Kluyveromyces lactis: one gene and its partners. The protein of the gene in region 2 purifies or fractionates together with the protein of the main gene of each other region. This does not show direct contact. Links are inferred from orthologs where the notes say so. Each region holds a gene or a part of one and is shown on either strand. Other genes may lie near its edges. The genes, in order: ORC1, HAT2 and ORC6.

Region 1 (4,309 bases), on a different chromosome or scaffold from region 2:
GATCATTATTCGTGATGCACCACTCGAAACCCGTCCAGACGAGACACGATATAATATTGAAAAATGCAAAGATCCACAAGCATGTGAACCAACCAGTTCCAAGATGATATGAAAACCCAAACGAATCAAGTTCGTTCGAAATCTTTTGACGAATGTTGATTGATAGTATAGTAAAGTTTATGACTGCTACTAAAGAGCAAATAAACACCAATAGTTTCATTAGTGATATAGAATGCAGGAGGATTTTGGTTTTCATGGTTTGTTCAGGTCTATTCCTGATCATGTAGTACAAGACAATCGATCCCAATATGAAAACTTCCAATACTGCCACGACGTAAAGTAGATTGACCATGTTGACTTTTCTTCTCGACAAAGCAGCCAAAAATTTGTTGTATTTTGCACTTTCTGCATTGTCGTGATCCAAAACACCATCGTTGTAAGTATATCCGTATGCGTAACTTAACACTATTCCCAAACCTAGGTCATCTAATAGCTTTCTATAGTTCAATAAGTATTGCGCTCCTTCCCTGTGACAAGTCATAGCCTTTGTAGAGTTATGTTCCTCCTTCCAAGTACCGTCAGGCTGCCATAATTCTTGAGAAGCATGTTTCATGCTGCACCATCCGTAAACTCCTGTCTTTATATAATCGGGCACGTCGTGGACCTGTGAGTCTACATACCGCGTGAGTAAAAGAATCTCTGCTGTTGTGAGTCCTGCTCCGTTATTAATATCAGACAGTTTTGCACTGACAACAGAACTGCTGAGCTTATCAAATAGTCCCTGCAAAATGTTAACATTTGAAGTGTCCAATCGTCCTAAATATAACGAATTTGGTGATGCGGCAGAAATAGCAGTCAAAACAAGGACAAAAACGATAATTCCCACTGAAGTTATAACTCGCAGCCATAACATCATCTTATCAAATGCGTTGAGGTGTCCTAGGGTCACTTTTAAGTATTTCCATAACGATATATTCCTCGCCAAGACACTTCCAAACCTCATTTCTTTTTATAAAGCTCCTAAAAGCTTCTTATGTATGACTCTATCAACGTGGGAAATTGTTCAATTTTTTTTCCAGCAGGCCAGCTGCCTTTATTCTTCTGTGTTTATCTGCTTCACCTTCGTTAATTGACTGGCAGAATTCATTCTGTTTATCATGTCATCACTCTTGAGATAAATCTCTTGATCTGTTTCTGCCAGGGTTCAAGGTTTAAAATTAGACGTCAGGAATGGGAAAACTATGTATCATTTTACACGTATTTGATGTTTCAAGATCGATCTTAATTCAGTAAACAGAGGAACCGTGTAACAACCAATATGCTATGAGATAAAAGAATGCTACGGAAACAGGTAGCTGTCATTTCAACATACTTGGCCAGCAAGTAACTACTACTAGTTTAGGAAGGAATTACTGCATTTTAACGGTTATCTGATTATTTTTCCTTTTTATTCCGTGGTAGCGAGTTTATTAGGCATGGCGTCAACGTTAGCTGAGTTTGAAGTTCAATGGGAAATACAGAAGACAGACTTGAAGGGGAATCTCATTGCTGAAACTCCTAGGCGAAGAAGAAGAGGAGATGCTACAGAACATGAAGTGATTAATTTGGTACGATACGATGGAGTCAGACTTTATCCTGGTGTTACGATTGTGTGCAAGGTAGAGGGTGCAGACGAGTTATCAGCGTATATGATCCATGAGGTGCGATTGAATACAAGCAATTACGTAGAACTCTGGTGTTTGAACTATTTGAGTTGGTACGAGATCAATGCTGCGGAAAGATATAAACAGCTTGATGGAGAGTTTTATGAGACTAATAAGGAAAAAGGTGACAAATTTTTTGAGGAAACCTTCGCGTCACAATCGATAAAGAACGAATTGTATTTGACAGCTGAGCTTTCAGAGATTTATCTACGGGACTTGCAATTTGTAGCTAATATTAAAAATGAAAAGGAGTATTTAGACTCTGTCAATGAAGGGAAAATGGATTCTAATATGTTTTTATGTCGATCTGCATGCTTGCCTTCAGGAACTAATCTGGCGGATTTAGATATACATTTCTTTGAAGAAAAAATACGTTCCTCGAATCCTAAGGTGTCTCTGGAGTATTTGCGTGATATTACTTTACCCAAGCTTCCAAAACCTTTAAATAAATCCAAGGTCCACGCACGAGAGAAGGTAGTGGCGACGAAATTGCAGTCCGACAACACACCAAGCAAAAAAAGCTTTCAACAAACAGTGAGCAAAACCAACGCTGAAGTCCAACGCATTGCATCTACTATTGTTAACGAAAAGGAAGCTATATCAGATAATGAATCGGATTTATCTGAATATCACGAAAGTAAAGAAGAGTTTGCAAACGCATCCTCTTCGGACAGTGATGAAGAGTTTGAAGATTACCAGTCTGCAGAAGAGCTTGCAATTGTAGAACCTGCCAAGAAAAAGGTGAGATCTATTAAACCAGATATACCCATTTCACCAGTAAAATCACAGACTCCATTGCAGCCATCAGCAGTTCATTCATCTCCTAGAAAGTTCTTTAAGAATAATATAGTGCGCGCTAAAAAGGCATATACTCCATTTTCCAAACGGTATAAGAATCCGAAGGATATTCCTGACTTGAACGATATTTTCCAAAGGCATAATAATGATTTGGATATAGCTGCATTAGAGGAGAGATTCAGAACAGTTTCTGCTAAAGGCAAAATGGAGACTATTTTTTCTAAGGTGAAGAAGCAATTGAACTCAAGGAATAGCAAAGAAGAAATTGTCAAAGCTGCTGATTTCGACAATTATCTTCCGGCAAGAGAAAATGAATTTGCAAGTATATACCTCTCACTTTACAGTGCAATTGAAGCAGGCACTAGCACCAGTATTTACATTGCCGGGACGCCAGGCGTTGGTAAAACTTTGACGGTTCGAGAGGTAGTTAAGGATTTAATGACATCTGCAGACCAAAAAGAACTTCCAAGATTCCAATACATTGAAATCAATGGTTTAAAGATTGTCAAAGCAAGTGATAGTTATGAAGTCTTTTGGCAAAAAATATCTGGAGAAAAGCTTACATCTGGAGCTGCCATGGAATCTCTGGAGTTTTATTTTAACAAAGTTCCAGCTACGAAAAAACGTCCTATCGTTGTGTTATTGGATGAGCTTGATGCATTAGTTAGCAAGAGCCAAGATGTAATGTACAACTTCTTTAACTGGGCTACCTATTCAAATGCGAAACTTATTGTTGTAGCTGTCGCAAACACCTTAGATCTCCCCGAACGCCATCTTGGTAACAAGATTTCGTCCAGAATTGGTTTTACTAGAATTATGTTCACTGGTTACACGCATGAAGAGCTTAGAACAATCATCAATTTGAGACTTAAATATTTGAACGAATCTAGTTTCTATGTCGACCCGGAGACAGGGAGTTCGTACATGATCTCTCCGGATAGTAGTACTATAGAAACTGATGAAGAAGAAAAGCGAAAAGACTTCTCTAACTATAAACGACTAAAACTTAGGATTAATCCTGATGCCATTGAGATTGCATCAAGAAAAATTGCTAGTGTCAGTGGTGATGTGCGGAGAGCTTTAAAGGTGGTCAAAAGAGCGGTAGAATATGCGGAAAATGATTACTTAAAGAGGCTTAGATATGAGCGACTAGTCAATTCCAAAAAAGATACTAGTGGCAATGGTACAGGAAATGAAGAATTACAGAGTGTAGAAATTAAGCATATTACCAAGGCATTAAACGAAAGTTCGACCTCTCCGGAACAACAATTCATATCTGGTCTGTCATTTAGCGGAAAACTTTTCCTATACGCATTAATCAATTTAATTAAGAAGAAGCAAACTGACGTACAACTTGGTGATATCGTAGAAGAAATGAGGCTCCTCATTGATGTCAATGGGAATAACAAATACATTTTAGAGTTGAAACGGATTTTATTCCAAAATGATTCTGTTGATACAAAGGAACAGTTAAGGGCCGTGTCTTGGGACTATATTTTATTGCAATTATTGGATGCAGGTGTTGTAGTAAGGCAATATTTGAAGAATGAGAGGCTCTCGACGATCAAATTAAATATTTCCATGGAAGATGCGGAGCAATGCTTGCATGAAGATGAAATGTTGAAGACATTTTAGTATATGCCTTCAAGACGCCTTTGCTGCTATTATAATTGCTACTTAGGTTGTCATGTAGCGTAGCGGTTAAGTAGAATATGAAACTGCTTTTTCAACTATTTAATTATAAGATAGAAAGATATAATAAAGGATGCATTTTTTTAACTACTATTTTACCGTGTTTATTCATTCTT
Region 2 (3,229 bases):
AAATGCGCTAAACTAATGAAACTAAGGCTATGTAAGGTTAAGGCAACTATTGCAAAAGAAGAGAAGACAGTTACTTCAGAAATCTTTCATTTACTGGAAAAAGTCCATAAGCTCATAATGACTGCCAAGCCAGGACAATTTCAACAACTGTTTTTTTCCACCTGTTCTTTAGCCTCATTGTTTTTGTCCAAGTTATATCTCTCCAGCGGTGGTTCTCATGAGAACTTGATTGATCTATATGCAGACACGTCGAAAGCTTGGATGAAAGACGGAAAATGCACAGTTAATTTCTTCATTGATTTTTCAAACTGGCTTCAAACAAAGAGAGCTGCATAATTTAGTAATATCGATCGAACTCGGGGTGTCATCAAGCTTTTTTAAACTTAGCACTAACAGAACAATATTATGAAAAGAAAGACTATTATTCGTACTAGTATTCCTAAATGTCAGTCTTCCTCTTATGTTTTTTTTTGTTTCTTTGTTTCATACGTAACGCTCAATAGCATCAACTTATAGAAAATTATAGACATTAACTTAACTATTCTAAGGTTGTAATATCGAAATCAGCTGGCGGTTGCGGAGGACGGACAATCTTATTCGCTGGTTTCCATATTTGAAGAACGTTTTCTTCTTCGACGCTGCACATTAGCCATGGAACATTTGAATTATGAGAAAACTCGTTAACGGGGCTTCTGTGACCGCCGTGCATCATGAATAGCTCAGGAACTCCGTCGTATGCGTCATCTGGTTGTTGTTCTGCTCCAATATTGAATAAGTCCCACATAATAATTCTTCGGTCAGAACCACTTGAAGTTAATAATCCATCTTGATGAGGAGAAAACTCGAGTGAGGTAACAGAATCTTCATGACCTGCCATTGAGTGCAATGGTTTTTGCAATCTACGTAAATCATAGAGATAGACGTTAGAGTCTGTACCTGCTGCTGCAAGAAGGTTTTCTGAACGCTTACTGAATGCTAATGTATTGAAGGCAGAGGAGACCGATAACTTTTGAATGGCCCTATCACTATTGGTGTCATGAATTATTAATGTGTTATCCTCGGATACTGTTCCAAATAAACTGCTTTGGAATTCGTGCCATTTGCAGTCATTTACTATATCAGTATGCACATCAAATGTTTGAGACGGCGATTTGTTTGCAGTGGAAGTGACATCCCATAAAGCAACAGTGCCATCATCGGATGCAGAAAGTAGCTGGCCAGAAACAGTGGGATTGAACGCCAATCCATATCCATTCTCTTTATGATAGGAGAAACTGGCAATGGCGCCATGATCTTTTTCCTTAATATTTCTATCAAAAATGTATACGATACCAGCTCCGTTCAAAGTTGCAATTATATTAGGCGATTGAGGCATGTATCTTGCCCTGGTGACTTCTTGTTCGTGCTTGAACTTCCTCACTATCTTGATCTTAGATTGACGATGGCTCAATTCATTTTCCTTCGCATCATCGGACACACTTGGTTTAGAAGAAGTGACGTTTTCCGGCAGGTCAATGGCAGCAATTTTCAAGTAGTTCGGCTCGTTATCAGTAGTTAACGTCCCAATAAGTAACTCTTGTCTCAATAATTGCTGTCCATCAACTTCTCGAGGTTGCATCTCGGTTGGAAGCCACTGTACAGTTAGTGACGGCCAGGTGAGTCGCGTCTCGCTAACAAAATCATACATCATTGGCACATTTGAGACCCATAAATCGTACTCCTCATTAATTGTTGTGGGTTGCTCAGGTTCTTCTACTTCAGTCATATTTAGTCTATTGGATTTATCTGATCTTTGGATACGTTATCCGGCTCTCACAGTATGTGTCAAACCAGCCGTTGTTCATTGCACTCTTTATTAATCCTCCATCGAATATCCTAAAGCGTTTTTCATGGGGCGCGACAGTGCAATTCAAACAAAGTCACGTGTTTGGATTAATGTATGGTAAAAGCCAACTGCCTCAAAATACTGTCAGAATGCAGAATACAGGGAAAAGCATCTAATATTTCGTCTTCATCAACTAAGTACTGTATATATTTTGTAACTTTTACTAGATTACCTTCGGCGTTGGGTTTTTGATGTATCCTTTTCAATAACATCTTCGACCCCTCCAAGTTCTTCTAATTTATCTTCCTCAATCCGAACTTGCTCACGTCTTTCCCACCACCGATCTTGGCATAACTCGAACGATTTTGTCTTCAAATGCTTACCTTTTGAGTCTCTATTACTGGAAATAGCCAATTCTAAGAAAGTAGGACCTGTGCGAACGTAAAATGCACGAAGGGTTTCAAAAGCCTTGGGATGAGGCAACCAAGGTCTAAGATCCGGAATTTCGTACTCTTCTTCCACTTCTTCCTCTTCTTCTTCTTCTTCTTCGTCTTCAGCTTCAAGTTTACTGTCAACAATCTCTTCTTCACCGTCGTCTTCATCATCGTCGTCTTCATCGCCAAATTCATCGTCAGAATCTTGCTCTCCAAGTTTCTCTGCTCTTTCAACTTCCTTCAACTCTTCCCAGTACACCTTCACCCCATCAAGTTTGTTCATATCAATGCTGTAAAAGGAGTCGATTGGATAGTCTTTTTCGCCAATTTCAACAGTACCACCGAAGATGAATAACGTATCATCCACAACAGCAGTCGCAGCGTTAAATCTGGCATGAGGCAAAGTTGACATAGTTTCATAGGATTTAGCTGATTTTTTGTCGCTTTCATCATCATCATCAAAATCTATAAGATCTAGCTGATTTAATTGTTCTTCAATGACCTTGCTTTCATCGTCGTCTTCTGCGTCACGCAAGTTAGCTTTATCAAGAATTTGATTCAAAATATCTTCAAGTTCTTTATCTTTGTTCCTGTTGGACTTCGATTGAACGAAGTTCTTCTTCTTCCTTTGAGGTCTCAAGGACATTGCATACCATCTGTTATTTTCTATCTGATATGTGTATAGTTCGTTGTAAAAGATTGATCTTAGACTTTCTTCTGTTTCTTCAAAGTCGTAGACACCTCCAAACAAAACACCTCTTCCCTTATGATGAACCATAGAACAGCCAACTCTTGGAGATGGTTGGGAACCCTGTTTCTTCCTTCTTTCCCATCTAATGGAACCCAGATCGGATTTCATCTTCAGATACCAACAGTCTGATAGAATCTTACCTTTTTGTAAGCCTTTGCCGGCTTTTACCTTGGTGTAACCACCGTATAAAACGGCGCCCTCCGCTGTAGATATCAGTGA
Region 3 (3,046 bases), on a different chromosome or scaffold from region 2:
CTGGCTGCGTTCTGTTTGATTAGTTTGTCCTTTATTGAATTTAACACTGTATTTTGGTTTAAAATGACATTGAACTTGATACCTGATACTGTGTAAGGTGCGTCTTTGAATTTCTCTGATGCCTTATAAGCAGCTTTATATGGAGCATCAGGTTGAGAAACTGGACCAGTGAATTTTATTAGATAGACGTACAATGGCAATGCACTATTTGGATCCATGAACTGTTCAAAATGCGCTATTTCACCAAATGATTTAAAGTAGTTTTTGATTATTGCTTCAGATAATGCGGCTGCTATTGGTTGTTGGTTAGATGCAGAAGGGTATACTATGATTTCTTTTGGAGGTTCAGGACCAATGTAGAAAGAATCATACGGAATTCGCGAGTTGCGTACCAATGCACTTCTAAGCTTTCTATATCTCTTTTTCGCAGAAATGGACCCAGAGACCGCATCCCCATTCATAGGACGTATTCTCGGATCCACCGAAGTTTGTTCAGGCTGCCTGGCCATGAGTATTGGTTTTTGCTTATCCGATGCAATCAACTCCGTTGTTGTCACATATCCATGCTCAGGAATCTTCTCAGATTTCCATTTCTTGAAGCTGGATTCATTTCGTAGTCGTTTACTTACAATGTCGTAATAATGATATTTTGTATTAAACTCATCGCGATCGTATTTCGCACTCACTACTGGACGCGTTGCGAAGGGATTACGAGGAATCTCGCTGATACCACGCGACTGCGACCGTATTGGACGAGATTCGTTCTCATTATTCCTAAGTTGAGACCCAAACCCCTCGCGGGAGTATCTTCGGTTCCCTGATCCATTCCGTTGGAAGCCCTTGTACCTATTCCCATTTTCTTGATATGCATATCGTCCGGTTTGGTACCGATCATTATTCCCATGAAAATGAGAGTACTGTCTATTATAGTACCCACTCATGAGAACTAAAATATACACACACGCTGGAATAGCAACTTATGCTAGATGAAATACTAGAAGTATTGCCAAAACTGAACTTATAGATGGAGAAGCGAATAATGATACTTTTGATTAATATTCAATTTCATTATTTACCATATTTTGTTTCAATATTGGAGAAAATCGAGAAAATCAGAAAAAGATCAAAAAGCTACATAAAGACTGTTTTTAATATTATGTTAAAAATGGTCCATGGAGATGAGATGAGATATATGTCTTTTCCGGGCCAGTGTAATACAACAAGTGAGTAGATGATCCTATTTTAGTCACTTTAGAGTGCTAAGAATCCGTGGAAATAATTTAAGATGTCTACGCAGCAAGTACGAACGTGTGTAACCGATTTATTAGGGGTCAAAAATGATTCTAATGTTGACTGGCAAGACCAACGGTTAAAGAAAGTGGCTTCTACTACAGCAACATTATACAACGTTTCAGTATCGAAAGTGATGCTGAAGAATTCAGAGGAACTTGCTCGGTGCCATATATGTGCACTGATTGCGTTTCAGAAACTAGCTGAGAAGTATGACAATGACCTACCATATTCTCAGGAGAAGATCCCGCTTCCACCAGACCAAGTATCCAAACTTGTGAATATATTTAAGAGAAACATATGGCCTCATTCGCCGCAAAAGGATACCGAAGGACAATTGCTGAAGTTTGATGATACTGCATCACCATCGGTTAGAAAGTCAGCGGTTAAAAATGCAAGATTCACAGGGATAGATCCGAAGTCGTTACAAGAACAGCTATTCCAGACTCCGTCGAAATCAAGAACTAAAAGTGGTATCCAGCCCTTGAAGAATGTTGATCTTTCACCTAGCAAAGGGAGTAGGTCAAGTGTCCGGAGGAAATTAGTGTTTGAAGCTGATACAGAAAATGGCCTTCCGTTGCCCATATTAGCAACCCCGAAGAATAAGACTGATATGATCAATATACCACAAGTGTTTGGATCAGTTGAGGATGATCCTGAATCTCCATTAAGACAGTCACCCTTTCGTGACTCCCCTTCTAAATACACGCCTTCACCAAGAAAGAAAAGAGGTAAGTATAACGAATGGAACATGCTATACAAAAAATACTATAGACCGTCTACCGCTGAACTGGTGACTCTGTGCAATGAATTTGAACTTCCTGAAGAAGTAACAGCTACCATAATTTCCGAATTCAATAACAACGCTACTTACCTAGCGTATCCTACACAGTTGGTTTGTGGTCTGGTACTTCTTTGCTCGTTCGTTGTCTTCAACCAACAGAGAAATCAGGACAGTACAATCGATAACAAGCTAATGAAGAAGATGGCGGCACAAATGAGAACAACAAATGATGAAGATATCATGGAAGCTATCAAGATCACAAAAGAACTAATAGACGGTGAGAAATGGTACCGAGAACTCCGTGTCAAGTTCGATTATTACGATGGATCGGATTTCGATAACGCTATCGCCGTCAGAATAGGCAGCATGTTACAAGACGAATATGAAGTCGTATCAGAAGAGCAATACTCAAACTGGAAACGAAGAATTATGGTCGACCTCAGTCTAAGAGATGGCACATGAATGGTTTCCTCCGATACCTTTCTTCTCACCGTCCCCATCTTCGCATTTATCATTCAATACGTTTTCATTACCTTTCTAATGAATTTTTCACGTTGACGTTTACCGAAGGGAACGGCAAGATGAAAAAAAAGAAGATAACTAAACATAGAGAGCGCAGATGAGATGAATTGAAGAGAGACATTACCGTCTGTCAGAACTCTGGAGATCGGATTACTCTTCGAATAATCAACTGCGAAGTACGTACCGAGTAACTGGTGAAATGACTGTTGAGTTGAAGCGAAACCTACTCGAATCATCTGTTGAAGACATTGATCTTGAATCCAAGAAACAGAGGGTCGACAATGACGTCGATCAGAACACAAGTAGTGTAGACGAAGATATTGATTATGAAGAAGACTATGATGAAGTGAACGATGTACCTATAGATTCAGGCAACTCTTTATTCAATAACAACGCTAAATGGCAAGAAACTATCTCCAAAGTTGTTAAGTCGGTGGTCTCAATTCATTT

The links.
Region 1: the proteins of HAT2 (region 2) and ORC1 purify together in Saccharomyces cerevisiae (affinity purification with mass spectrometry; 3 studies listed by BioGRID). This does not show direct contact. The link is inferred for Kluyveromyces lactis from reciprocal best matches to the Saccharomyces cerevisiae genes HAT2 and ORC1.
Region 3: the proteins of HAT2 (region 2) and ORC6 purify together in Saccharomyces cerevisiae (affinity purification with mass spectrometry; 3 studies listed by BioGRID). This does not show direct contact. The link is inferred for Kluyveromyces lactis from reciprocal best matches to the Saccharomyces cerevisiae genes HAT2 and ORC6.

The regions. Positions count from the first base shown.
Region 1 is NC_006038.1:453,242-457,550, forward strand, and holds ORC1 (origin recognition complex subunit 1), read left to right. Parts: upstream 1-1,475; coding exon 1,476-4,136; downstream 4,137-4,309. Other genes in the region: ECM7 (Ecm7p), read right to left, coding at 1-1,003. UniProt on the Saccharomyces cerevisiae protein: Component of the origin recognition complex (ORC) that binds origins of replication. It has a role in both chromosomal replication and mating type transcriptional silencing. Binds to the ARS consensus sequence (ACS) of origins of replication.
Region 2 is NC_006040.1:76,149-79,377, forward strand, and holds HAT2 (Hat2p), read right to left. Parts: upstream 1,766-3,229; coding exon 539-1,765; downstream 1-538. Other genes in the region: POL5 (DNA-directed DNA polymerase), read left to right, coding at 1-336; KEL3 (Kel3p), read right to left, coding at 2,054-3,229. UniProt on the Saccharomyces cerevisiae protein: Regulatory subunit of the histone acetylase B (HAT-B) complex. The complex acetylates 'Lys-12' of histone H4 which is required for telomeric silencing.
Region 3 is NC_006042.1:2,246,156-2,249,201, reverse strand, and holds ORC6 (origin recognition complex subunit 6), read left to right. Parts: upstream 1-1,285; coding exon 1,286-2,536; downstream 2,537-3,046. Other genes in the region: histone methyltransferase SET1, read right to left, coding at 1-941; NMA111 (Nma111p), read left to right, coding at 2,796-3,046.